3 linked regions of the Lonchura striata genome follow. The protein of the gene in region 3 interacts with the protein of the main gene of each other region in a pairwise test. Links are inferred from orthologs where the notes say so. Each region holds a gene or a part of one and is shown on either strand. Other genes may lie near its edges.

What was found.
Region 1: the proteins of USP2 (region 3) and NEFL interact in binary tests that used the Homo sapiens proteins (3 or more experiments, as listed by UniProt). The two-hybrid records come from large-scale screens. The link is inferred for Lonchura striata from reciprocal best matches to the Homo sapiens genes USP2 and NEFL.
Region 2: the proteins of USP2 (region 3) and DTX3 interact in binary tests that used the Homo sapiens proteins (3 or more experiments, as listed by UniProt). The link is inferred for Lonchura striata from reciprocal best matches to the Homo sapiens genes USP2 and DTX3.

The regions. Positions count from the first base shown.
Region 1 is NC_134634.1:2,828,427-2,832,169, forward strand, and holds the start of NEFL (neurofilament light polypeptide), read left to right. Parts: upstream 1-823; 5' UTR 824-859; coding exon 860-1,909; intron 1,910-3,477; coding exon 3,478-3,602; intron 3,603-3,743. UniProt on the Homo sapiens protein: Neurofilaments usually contain three intermediate filament proteins: NEFL, NEFM, and NEFH which are involved in the maintenance of neuronal caliber.
Region 2 is NC_134629.1:5,163,871-5,167,613, forward strand, and holds the start of DTX3 (putative E3 ubiquitin-protein ligase DTX3), read right to left. Parts: upstream 2,705-3,743; 5' UTR 2,659-2,704; intron 1,626-2,658; exon of another isoform or gene 1,615-1,625; 5' UTR 1,571-1,614; coding exon 1,558-1,570; intron 1-1,557. Other genes in the region: PIP4K2C (phosphatidylinositol 5-phosphate 4-kinase type-2 gamma), read right to left, coding at 3,741-3,743. UniProt on the Homo sapiens protein: Regulator of Notch signaling, a signaling pathway involved in cell-cell communications that regulates a broad spectrum of cell-fate determinations.
Region 3 is NC_134625.1:9,114,939-9,118,681, forward strand, and holds the start of USP2 (ubiquitin carboxyl-terminal hydrolase 2), read left to right. Parts: upstream 1-1,129; 5' UTR 1,130-1,365; intron 1,366-3,743. UniProt on the Homo sapiens protein: Hydrolase that deubiquitinates polyubiquitinated target proteins such as MDM2, MDM4 and CCND1. Isoform 1 and isoform 4 possess both ubiquitin-specific peptidase and isopeptidase activities.

The sequences.
Region 1 (3,743 bases), on a different chromosome or scaffold from region 3:
AGCACTCATGCTTGTGCTAACTGCAAACTGAAGGGGAAAAAAAATATACTATTTACACATCTGGAGGTTCTGAGTTGCAGCCAGGGTTGGGTGTCCCTCAGCCTCACCGAGGCAACCTCAGCCACAATGAATGTGCTGGAGCTTGCAGCACATTCCCGAAGCTTCTGCCAGGGCAGCTGTGGAGAAGCAGAGCCGGGGTGTTAAACACAGCCTTGGCAGGCTGCAGGGTGCAGATAGACCTGAGGGGAGCTGGATCTGAAAGGGCCCCGAAGGGGGGCCGGGAGATGCCCCGGGAGGGCCCAGGCTGTGCCCAAGGAGGGCTGAGACAGGGCTGAGAGGATGAGGTGGGGCCGAGCCCAGGCTGCTCCGGAGTAGGCCGGTCCCAGCTCCCCGCGCCCGCGGGGATGCTCGGAGCTGTCCGGGCATCCCTTCCCTGCCGTGATAGCCAGAGCTGTCCGGGCATCCCTTCCCTGCCGCGATGCCCGGAGCTGCATGGGCATCCCTTCCCTGCCGCGATGCCCGGAGCTGTCCGGGCATCCCTTCCCTGCCGTGATGGCCAGAGCTGTCCGGGCATCCCTTCCCTGCCGCGATGCCCGGAGCTGCCCGGGCATCACTGGGGCGAGGTCCTGCCCGTGCCGCTGAGGCCATCAGAGCAGTGAGGGAATGAATGCCTGCATCACTCCGGGCATCCCCTCCCGGCGGCGGTGCCTGGACCGCTCCGGGCGTCGCCTCCCCGCCGCGGTGTCTCCGCGCTCCGCCCCGTCCCCGCCCGGCGGCCGCACCGCCCGCCCTCCCCGCGCATAAATATCGAGGTGCGGGCGGTGCCCGCCGCAGAGCCGTCTCCGGAGCCCCCGCAGCCATGAGCTCGTACGGCTACGACCCGTTCTTCCCGTCCTACAAGCGGCGCTACGCGGACAGCCCGCGCATCCATGTGTCGGTGCGCAGCGGCGGCGGCTTCGGCTCGGCGCGCTCCGCGTACTCCAGCCTGTCCGCGCCCGTGTCCTCCGTGTCCGTGCGCCGCAGCTACGCCGCCTCCAGCGCCTCGGGCTCGCTGCTGCACTCGGTGGACAGCCTGGACCTGAGCCAGGTGGCCGCCATCAGCAACGACCTCAAGTCCATCCGCAGCCAGGAGCGAGCGCAGCTGCAGGACCTCAACGACCGCTTCGCCTGCTTCATCGAGCGCGTCCACGAGCTGGAGCAGCAGAACAAGGTGCTGGAGGCCGAGCTGCTGGTGCTGCGGCAGAAGCACGCCGAGCCCTCCCGCTTCCGCGCCCTCTACGAGCAGGAGATCCGCGAGCTGCGCTTGGCCGCGGAGGAGGCGACGAGCGAGAAGCAGGCGCTGCAGGGCGAGCGGGAGAGCCTGGAGGAGACGCTGCGCGGGCTGCAGGCGCGCTACGAGGAGGAGGTGCTGAGCCGCGAGGATGCGGAGGCGCGGCTGCTGGAGGTGCGCAAGGGCGCGGACGAGGCGGCGCTGGCGCGGGCGGAGCTGGAGAAGCGGGTGGACAGCCTGCTGGACGAGCTGGCCTTCCTCAAGAAGGTGCACGAGGAGGAGCTGGCCGAGCTGCAGGCGCAGATCCAGTACGCTCACCTGTCCGTGGAGATGGACGTGTCGGCCAAGCCCGACCTGTCGGCCGCGCTGCGCGACATCCGCGCGCAGTACGAGAAGCTGGCGGCGCGCAACATGCAGAACGCCGAGGAGTGGTTCCGCAGCCGCTTCACCGTGCTCAGCGAGAGCGCCGCCAAGAACACGGACGCCGTGCGAGCCGCCAAGGACGAGGTGTCCGAGAGCCGCCGCCTGCTCAAAGCCAAGACGCTGGAGATCGAGGCCACCCGCGGCATGAACGAGGCGCTGGAGAAGCAGCTGCAGGAGCTGGAGGAGAAGCAGAGCGCGGATATCTCCGCGCTGCAGGTGAGGGGGCGTGGGCTGGGATGGTCCCTCAGGGGACGAGGGTCGGGGTCCATCAGGGGAGGGGATGAGGGGGTGTGCAGGGCTCGGCAGGTCAGGAGAAGCTGGGGTTTGAAAGGTTGTGAGGGTGATGGGGTTTGGAAGGCTCTGCAGGTGAGGGGATGATGGGGTTTGGAAGGCTCTGCAGGTGAGGGGATGATGGGGTTTGAAAGGTTCTGAAGGTGAGGGGATGATGTGGTTTGGAAGGCTCTGCAGGTGAGGGGATAATGGGGTTTGAAAGGCTCTGCAGGCAAGGGGATGATGGGGTTTGAAAGGTTCTGAAGGTGCGAGGGTGATGAGGTTTGGAGGGCTCTGCAAGCGAGGGGATGATGGAGTTTGAAAGGCTCTGCAGGTCAGGAGAAGTTGGGGTTTGAAGGGTTCTGAAGATGCAAGGACGATGGGGTTTGCAGGACTCTGCAGGTGAGGGGATGATGGGGTTTGAAGGGTTCTGAAGATGCGAGGGTGATGGGGTTTGAAAGGCTCTGCAGGGGAGGGGGTGATGGGGTTTGCAGGGCTCTGCATGGGACAGGGCTCAGGTTTTACAGGGTTCTGCAGGTGAGGGGTTCCAAGGTTTTCTGGGTTCTGCAGGTGAGGGGTTTCAAGGTTTTCTGGGTTCTGCAGGTGAGGGGTTCCAAGGTTTTCTGGGCTCCGCAGATGAAGGAATGGACATTGGGGTGTGAAGGATTCTGGCGGTGAAGGGGTGGATGTTGGGGTTTGAAGAATTCCGCAGGTGAGGGGGGTCAGGGTTTGCTGGGCTCTGCAGGTGAAGGGATGAATGTTGGGCTTTGGAGGGATCTGCAGGTGAGGAGATGTCGGGGTTTGAAGGGTTTTGCAGGTGAGGGGGGTCAGGGTTTGCTGGTGAGGGGAGTCGTGGCTGCAGAGCCTCACAGATGAGGGGATCGGGTTTGGGGGCGTTGTCGGGGGCATCTCTGCAGATAAGGCATCCTGAAATCCCAGTGCAGAATGCCACAGAGCTATAAAGGAGGATGTGGTGTGGAAATACAGACCCAAATCGGGATCTGAATTATCAAAATCATCCCAGACATTAGTTCTGGTACTGCTTATCTAAAGTGTGAGCTGTTATAAAATCAGAATGCAAAATGCCCCTGATAAAGCTCAATATCCATGTGTCCATGTACTGATGCAGCCAGAACTATACCAGAAAATCATGGAATCCCAGAATATCCCGAGTTGGAAGGGACCCGCAAGAATTAACAATGGATATCCCTAAGCTAAAATTTAAAAAAAGTACATAAAGGTCAAAATCAAAATGAAACAAAATACAGATTTCACTGTGCTTTAGCACTTGGGTACCAGAAAATTTGGCTTTTTGTGTTAAATAGAACTGGAATAATGTGGGGTAGAAAACCTACCAAGAAGGTGTTAAATGATGCTGTTTGGCTGAGAGTGGGAGCTGTGCAGTTTCTGCCTGCTAGAGCAAGATTAAATTAAAAGGATTGGAGAAATTCCCTGTGATTATTGCTAGGCTTGAGAACAGAATTTTATGCTGTCAATGTTGTTCCATCCAACAGGATACAATCAACAAATTGGAGAATGAGCTGAGAACCACAAAGAGTGAGATGGCTCGGTACTTGAAGGAATATCAGGACCTGCTCAATGTGAAAATGGCCCTGGACATCGAAATTGCAGCTTATAGGTATGGTGGGGGATGTTTTAATGAGCCAGAACTCAGAGCACTTCCCATTCTCTTCAGGAGAATTCAGGTTATTTTTCATCGCCCCAGCAGAAATTTTCATAGGTCTGGGGCAGTTTAATCAGTTCCTCTCTATGTGCACAC
Region 2 (3,743 bases), on a different chromosome or scaffold from region 3:
CACCGCGGGGACACCCCAAAAGTGCCAGGCTGGGCACCTTGAACCCCAGAGACTGGGCACAGACCCCCTAAACACCCGGGGACACCCCAAATCGTCAGGGGATGGAGATGGACCCCCAAAACCTCCTGAGCCTGGGCCCCACCTGCACCATCACCTGGCGGCCCCACTGCACCCCGACATCCCTGACAGCATGAACGGCCCTGGGGGACCCCAAAACTGCCAGGGACTGGGCACGGGACCCCAAAACTGCCAGGGACTGGGCACAGGACCCCCAAAACTGCCGGGGACTGGGCATGGGACCCCAAAAGTGCCAGGGACTGGGCACAGGACCCCCAAAACTGCCAGGGACTGGGCACGGGACCCCAAAACTGCCGGGGACTGGGCATGGGACCCCAAAAGTGCCAGAGACTGGGCACAGGACCCCCAAAACTGCCGGGGACTGGGCACGGGACCCCAAAACTGCCGGGGACTGGGCATGGGACCCCAAAAGTGCCAGGGACTGGGCACGGGACCCCAAAACTGCCGGGGACTGGGCATGGGACCCAAAAACTGCCAGGGATTGGGGATTGGACCCCAAAACCGCCAGGGACTGGGCATGGGACCCCCAAAACCCCCAGGGACTGGGCACGGGACCCCCAAAACCCCCAGGGACTGGGCATGGGACCCCAAAACCCCCAGGGACTGGACCCCACTGGCACCATCACCTGGTGGCCCCCACACACCCCAACATTCTTGACAGGACAAACCCAGGGGGGACACCCCAAAACCATCAAGGGCTGGCCATGGGGCACTTTGAACCCCAAAATCTGGGCATGGGACCTTCAGAGCCTGGGTACAGAGCCCCAGAATCCTGTGAGACCGGATATGGACCCCAAAAAACTCCCAGAGTCTGAGCATAGGACCCCAAAACTTCTGACACTGGGCATGGACCCTCCCAAACCCCTCTGAGACTGGATATCGACCCCAAAAAAGTCCCAGAGATTGAGCACGGACCCCCAAAACTTCTGACACTGAGGATGGATCCCCCCAAACCCCTCTGAGACTGGGCACGGGCCCCCCAAAACCCCTCTGAGCCAGGGCATGCACCCCCAAACCTGAGTTTGGGCATGGACCCCCAAAATCCTCTGGCACTGGGCACTTCAAGACCCCAGAGCCTGGGGACTGCGGGTCACCCCAAAACCCAGCGAAATCTGAAGGTGAACCCCCCCAAAACCCTGCCAGGCTGCCTGAGCCCGGGCATGGCACCCAGGGGGGCTCCTGAGGGGTCCCAGAGCCCCCTGCCCCCCTGGGGACGCTCACCCCCCCAAGGTGCCACCTCAAGGGTCAAACCTGTCCCCGTGCCCCGAATCTGGGACACCCCGGGGGTGTCACCACACCGTCACCCCCAAGGGTGGGGCCAGGGCTGGGGGTCCCCAGCACCCCTGAACCCGGGGGGGGGTCCCACGGGTGAAGGTGCTCCAAGGGGGTCCCACAGCCCGGGGGGAGGGGGTCCCCAGGGCACGGGGGGGAGGGGGTCACAGGCCGGGGGTCCCCAGAGCGGGGGGTCCCCACACCCACCTGGTGAGCCCATGGGGGACAGGAGCCGAGGCGATCAGCAGAGCCACGAGCCCGGGGCTGGGGGGACACGGGGGGACACGGGGGGTCTCAGATGGGCCCCTCCACCCCCAGACCCAATTGGGGGGGCTCCTCAACCCCTCTGGACCCCCCCCGCACGGCACCCTACAAAAACAACAGCACCACCACCCCCCGTGTCCCCAGGGGACCCCACAGCACCCAGAGGACCCCACAGCACCCAGGGGACCCCGCGGAACCCAGGAGACCCCCGTGACACCCAGGGGACCCCGCGGCACCCAGGGGACCCCCGTGACACCCAGGGGACCCCACGGCACCCAGGGGACCCGGCAGCACCCAGGGGACCCCGCGGCACCCCCAGCCCCCACCAGCCCTTCGGGGGGGCAGCGGCTCCGGGGGTCCCCGGCCCCCCCAGACCCGTTTTCCCCTCGCTGCGAGGTGGGGCCCGCGGACCGGGGGGGATGAACGCGCCGCGGCCCCCGGTGCCCCCCGGTCCCCCCGGTGCCCCCCGGTGACCCCCGGTGACCCCCGGTGACCCCCATCCCCCCGAGGGCTCCACGGGGGACGCGGGGGGGGATGGGCCCGGAATGGGGGGGACAGGCCTGGGGGAGCTGGGGGGTCCCGATGAGGCCCGGGGGGGGCACGGCAGGCCCGGGGGTCCCGGGGGGGGCACGGCAGGCCCGGGGGTCCCGGGGCAGGCCCGGGGGTCCCGGGGGGGGCACGGCAGGCCCGGGGGTCCCGGGGCGGACGGGCGGGCCCGGCGGTGACAGGTCGGGCCCGGGGGTCCCGCGGAGGCCGGGGCAGGCCCGGGGAAGGTCCGGATGAGACCCGAGGGGGAGCCGGTGAGTCCCGATAGGGCCCGGGGGGGTTCGGGGGTCCCGGTAAGGCCCGAGGGGATCGGGCAGGCCCGGGGAGGGGCCCGGGGGTCGCTGCGGTGCAGGCAGGCCCGGGGCGGGGGCGCGGGCAGGGCGAATGGCGGGGCCGAGCCGGGGCGGGGGCGCGGCGGGGAGGCCGGGGGGAGCCGGGGGGAGCCGGGGGGAGCCGGGGTGCCGCTGTCCCGGGTCCCGGTCCCGGTCCCGCACCCACCGGGCCCGGGCGGGCGCAGCATGGCGGGCGCGTCCGGCGGCTCACGTGACCGCGCGGGGCGGGGCCGCCATGGCAACGGGGGGCGGAGCGTTACCATGGCAACGGGGGCGGGGCCGCCATGGCAACGGGGCGGAGAGGGACCGCCATGGCAACCGAGGCGGGGCGTCGTCATGGCAACGGGGGCGGAGCCGCCATTGCAACGGGGGAGCGTCGCCATGGCAACGGGGGCGGGGCCGCCATTGCAACGGGGGCGGAGCATCACCATGGCAACGGGGGCGGGGCGACGCGTCTGGGGGCGTGGCCAGAGCGGCGGGGGCGTGGCCTGCAGCCGGGAACTGGGGGTCCCCGGGAAAGGGGGAGCCGGGGTTGGGGGGCGCAGGGAGAAAGGAAAGGGGGAGCAGGGGTTGGGGGGCGCAGGGAGAGAGGAAAGGGGGAGCAGGGGTTGGGGGGCGCAGGGAGAAAGGAAAGGGGGAGCCGGGGTTGGGGGGCGCAGGGAGAGAGGAAAGGGGGAGCCGGGGTTGGGGGCGCAGGGGGCTCCGAGGGGCACAGGGAACCGGGCAGACGCGGGGCCGGTTCAATAATTTATTTCTCGGTACAGAGCACGGGAAGGAGCCCCACAAACGGGGTTGGGGGGGGACACGACACGCGACACTCCCACAAATGGGGGGCGGGGGTCCCGTCCCGCCCCCCCCGGGGGTCCCACCAGGCCGGGGTCCTCCCCTCCCCTGCCCCCCGGGAGCTGCAAAAAGGGGGGGAGCTGTGGAGCCCCCCAGGTCCCACGCGGAGGGGGGCAGGGAGCGTCCCCCAGCCTCCCTGGGAAGAGGGGTGGGGGCTGCACCCCACCCGGGCAGCCATGACCGGGGGGTCCCTTTCACCCCCCCATGGGGCAAGTAGTGTTTGACCCCCCCCCCAGCTTTGGGAGGGGTCCCAGAGCCCCTTGTGCGGGGGGGGCACCCCAGAGCCCCCCGGGACCCCCGCACACAGAGTTAAGGCACTTGAGCAGTGAAGCCCCACTGGGGGGGGGCAGGGCGTGCCGTGGGGTTTTGGGGTTTTGGTCCCGCGGGAGGGGCCCCTGGGCCCCCTCA
Region 3 (3,743 bases):
CTGCTCCCAGACCCTTTGTCCCCATCCCCGTCCCTAAACCCCCAGCTCCATCCCAGACACCATGGTGGCAGGGAGGCACAGCAGGGGACCAGGTCTGGCCCTGGCCCCTCCATCCTCTGGGGAGGGAATTGCCAGGGATGGAAGTGGCCATGGGAGCGGGGCTGGGTGTGCACATGTCCCAAAGCTCCTGTGCCCATCACACGTGGGTCCTGCTGGGGCTCCTGTGCCCATCACACCAGGGTCCTGCTGGGGCTCCTGTGCCCATCACACCAGGGTCCTGCTGGAGCTCCTGTGCCCACACACTGCCTGGGGGCTGCCAAGGCCTCTCATGTCCTTTGCAGCAGCCATACACTGCCCTGCCCAGCGTCAAGATGCCACCCTGGCACCAGGAGCCACCAGCAGGACTCAGCCACCACCCCCTGACACCATTGGTGACCCTGCGCCACCTCCCAGAGTGACGCCCCGACGCGCCCCTCCCTGTTTAAGGGCTGGAGCCAGAGGGAGGGAGGGAGGAAGATGCCACCCTAATTACATCCCTCCCCATTATCCTCGGCAGGTGCTCGCTGAGTCACGGCCACGCAGGTGCCGTAGCCTGGGCGGGTCAGGCGTCCCCATGGATCCACGAGGGGCGGCCACGCCACGCCAGCTGCCCCACACCCACCTTTGCTGAAGGTTTAGTGGGCTCTTCTCCCTACAGCTCATCCCAGGGGGGGGCAAAACCCAGTCCAGCTCCTCCCCTCACCCTGATGCTCTACTCCAAACCTTGCTGGCAGCCACCAACGCCCCTTTTTGTGCCTCCCTGCCCCACACGCACCAAGCGGTGTTCCCACCACCGCTCCCTCCCTTAACCCTCCCTCTATCCTTCGCCTCCTGGACCTCGACCTGCCTCCCCAAATCTCTCCGTCCCTCACGCTTACCCTTAGTCCTGCTCCACCCCGCACAGCCCCCGCAGCCTCCCCTGGCAGCACCCCCTTGCCGAGGGCCACCAGCCCACCCGGGCTCGCGTCCCCTTTAAGCCTCCCCAAGCTGGAATGCGAGAGGAGCATTTCAGCGCCCTGTGAGGTCAGATAAAGACACTATATTTATCTGCCTGGTAACCCGAGCCCTGAATTTCTGCGGTGGTGTTTTTACGTGGCCCCACAGCCCTCGGGCTCGGCCCCCTCCGGCCACTGCGCTCCCTCCCAGCGTGGAGGGGCTGAGCCGGGGGCGTCCTGTCCCCTGCGAAGGGTTCGGCTGCTGCCCATCTCCGGTGCCGGGGCAAGCTCCCCAAGGAGGCAGGACCAGCGCCGAGGGCATCACCGAATGCCTGGCTGGTCACCCCTCGCCGTGTCCTGAGCAGCCATCGGCCACCCGTGCCACATGCAGGTGAGTGCAGGTGGGGACACGGCCCCGGGGAGGGGGACACGGAGACAGACAAAACTGTCCCGCTCTTCCTGCAGCCGGATAACAGCCCGGGGGAGAGGTTTCTCTCCAGGGAGAAGGTTCTGAGTTCACACACAAAATCCTGCCTTTGAGCCACCCTCCCCGGCACCCTCCTCGTTCCCCAGCGTGGGCAGAGCCTCCTGCCCGAGGGTCCCTTCTTTTTTTTGGCACGCACAGACTCAAAGCAGTAATTCATGCCCTGGGTCTTACGTCAGGGTCCCCCGTGGGTTTGGGGTTTTGCTGCCTGGGGGGTGGCCCGGGAGCAGCAGCAGCAGGCTCTGCAGCAGGGTGGGGATGGGTCAGCAGCAGGGAGCGGGGCCAGGGTGGTGACTCCCGGCTGTGTGGGGTGAGCCTGGGGGTTCCTCAGGCCCAGGGCTGGCAGGGGAAGGACCCTGGCCAGGCTGGGTGAGTCACCTTGGGCAGGGCTTGTCACTTTGTGGGGTGGGAGTGGTGGGGAACGCAGGAGCCAGGCTGTGCCAGAGGCACTGCAGTCCCCATCTGTCGAAAGGGTCACTCCTGTCCCCTCCAGGGAGCAAACATTTTGTGGCTCATTCCCTCCAGGGCTGCTCGGGGTCAGCCTTCCTAGAGGGAAATGGATACCTGGAGGGATTCTGTGCCTTGTTTCCCTTGGGGAATGGGCAGGAGGCTGTCCCACCTCGCTCAGCTGGACACAGAGCCCCTCAGCCCCAAAGCACTTGTACTCTGGAGCGTGCAAAGTGCCTCACACAGGGTCCCCTCTCTGCCTCCACCACGGCAGAGTCCCGGGAGCCCCCACGTAACCTCAGGCCGGGACATTGTGTCTCAGGGGACGGCTCTGAGCCTGCGTAAGCGAGAAGCAGCTGTGCTGTGACACCTTGGATGGAGCCAGCGCTGTGTAAGCTGAGCCGAGCCCGCTCTGGGGCTCCGTGGCCACCGAGGGGGACAGCTGCCACCGGGCACGGGCAGGACAGAGGGGACACCTGCCACCGGGCACGGGCAGGACGGCAGCTGGGGACAGAGCAGGCCTCTGCTTTTCTGCCTCAGAGTGAGGGTTTTGCCTCCTCACTTTGAGCTGAGATTCCCAGGGAGGGCAGGGCAGGACTCCCCAGCGCCCCGAGCAGCCCCGTGTGTCCCGCTCCCGTGTGGTGGCACCGCTCCCGCCGGGCCCGTGAGCGCAGACCGGACATTCCTGTGCCTCAGCTTCCCCTGACAGCCCGGGAGGATGATGAGGGTGCAGGCGGCCTGACTCAGCCGTGCTGGCCCCAGGGCTTTGCCAGGCAGCAGGAAAGCTCAGCACAATGACGGGTAGGGAGGGGCCAGGCAGCCCAGGAAGCGCTGGGAGGAACCGGGGTTTTCTCACACCCCCTCAGCTCCTCTGGCTCCTGGCACGCTGTGCTCTCCCACCGCCCTGGGGTCCGCTCGGATGTGACATGGGGACCTGGAAGCACAGGCAAGCCTGGCAGATGTGACATTCCTCCATGGTAAGGCCTCTCTTCCCAAGGAATGGGATAGCTCCCGTGGCCGGGGCCGGTGCCCGCTCCTGACCCTGCATCCCTCCATCGGCTGCTCCGCATCCCCAGGGCAGGTGCTGCCCTGTGGAGACCTGTCCTGCTGCCAGGAGCACCTGCTGCCCTCCTGCTCCCAAACTTGTGCTCTCCTGGCACTGCCGGTGCCAGGAGAGAGCGTGGGCACCTGGCAGGGGATGATGGCATGGGGCTCTCCTGGCACTGTCCCAAGCCAAGATCATCTCTGCTGGCGACGAGGATGGGGAGTAGGGGCAGTCCCTGTGCCAGGCTGCTCCGTGCCCCAGCAGGGCAGGCAGCCAGGCATGTGCTCCCTGGGAGCCCAGGGGCTCCGTCACTCCCATCCTGGCACTCAATGCCAGTCTCCTGGCTGGGGTCCCACTCCCTGTCCGTGTCAAATGCCGACTGGCAGAGCCCCGCTCCTGGTGAGGGCGGCCGCAGCCAGGCTGGGAAGAGCCAGGTGTTCCGTGGCTCCCGTGCCCGGGAGCAGATTATTCACCCTTCAGCCTCCGTCCCCAAACAGGTCTGTGCGCTCCACCTCGCTGCTGCTTGTAAATATTTCCCTGTCCGCGGTGGGACGGCTGCTCCCTGGGCAGCAGCAGCAGCGGCCGGGACAGAGCCAGGCTGCCCGTGGGAGCCCACGGGGGCTGCTGCCGTCCCTCACCGCCCCTCCCTGAAGCATTCCCGGGGCGTTTCCACGCGGAGCCCGCGGGGCTCGGAGCAGGAGGCTGTGTCCCCGCAGGGCCAGGCAGGCGGTGACCCGCGGTGGCTCCTCGTGCCTCGTCCCCAAGCCCCGGTGGCACCCTCGGTGCTGCAAGG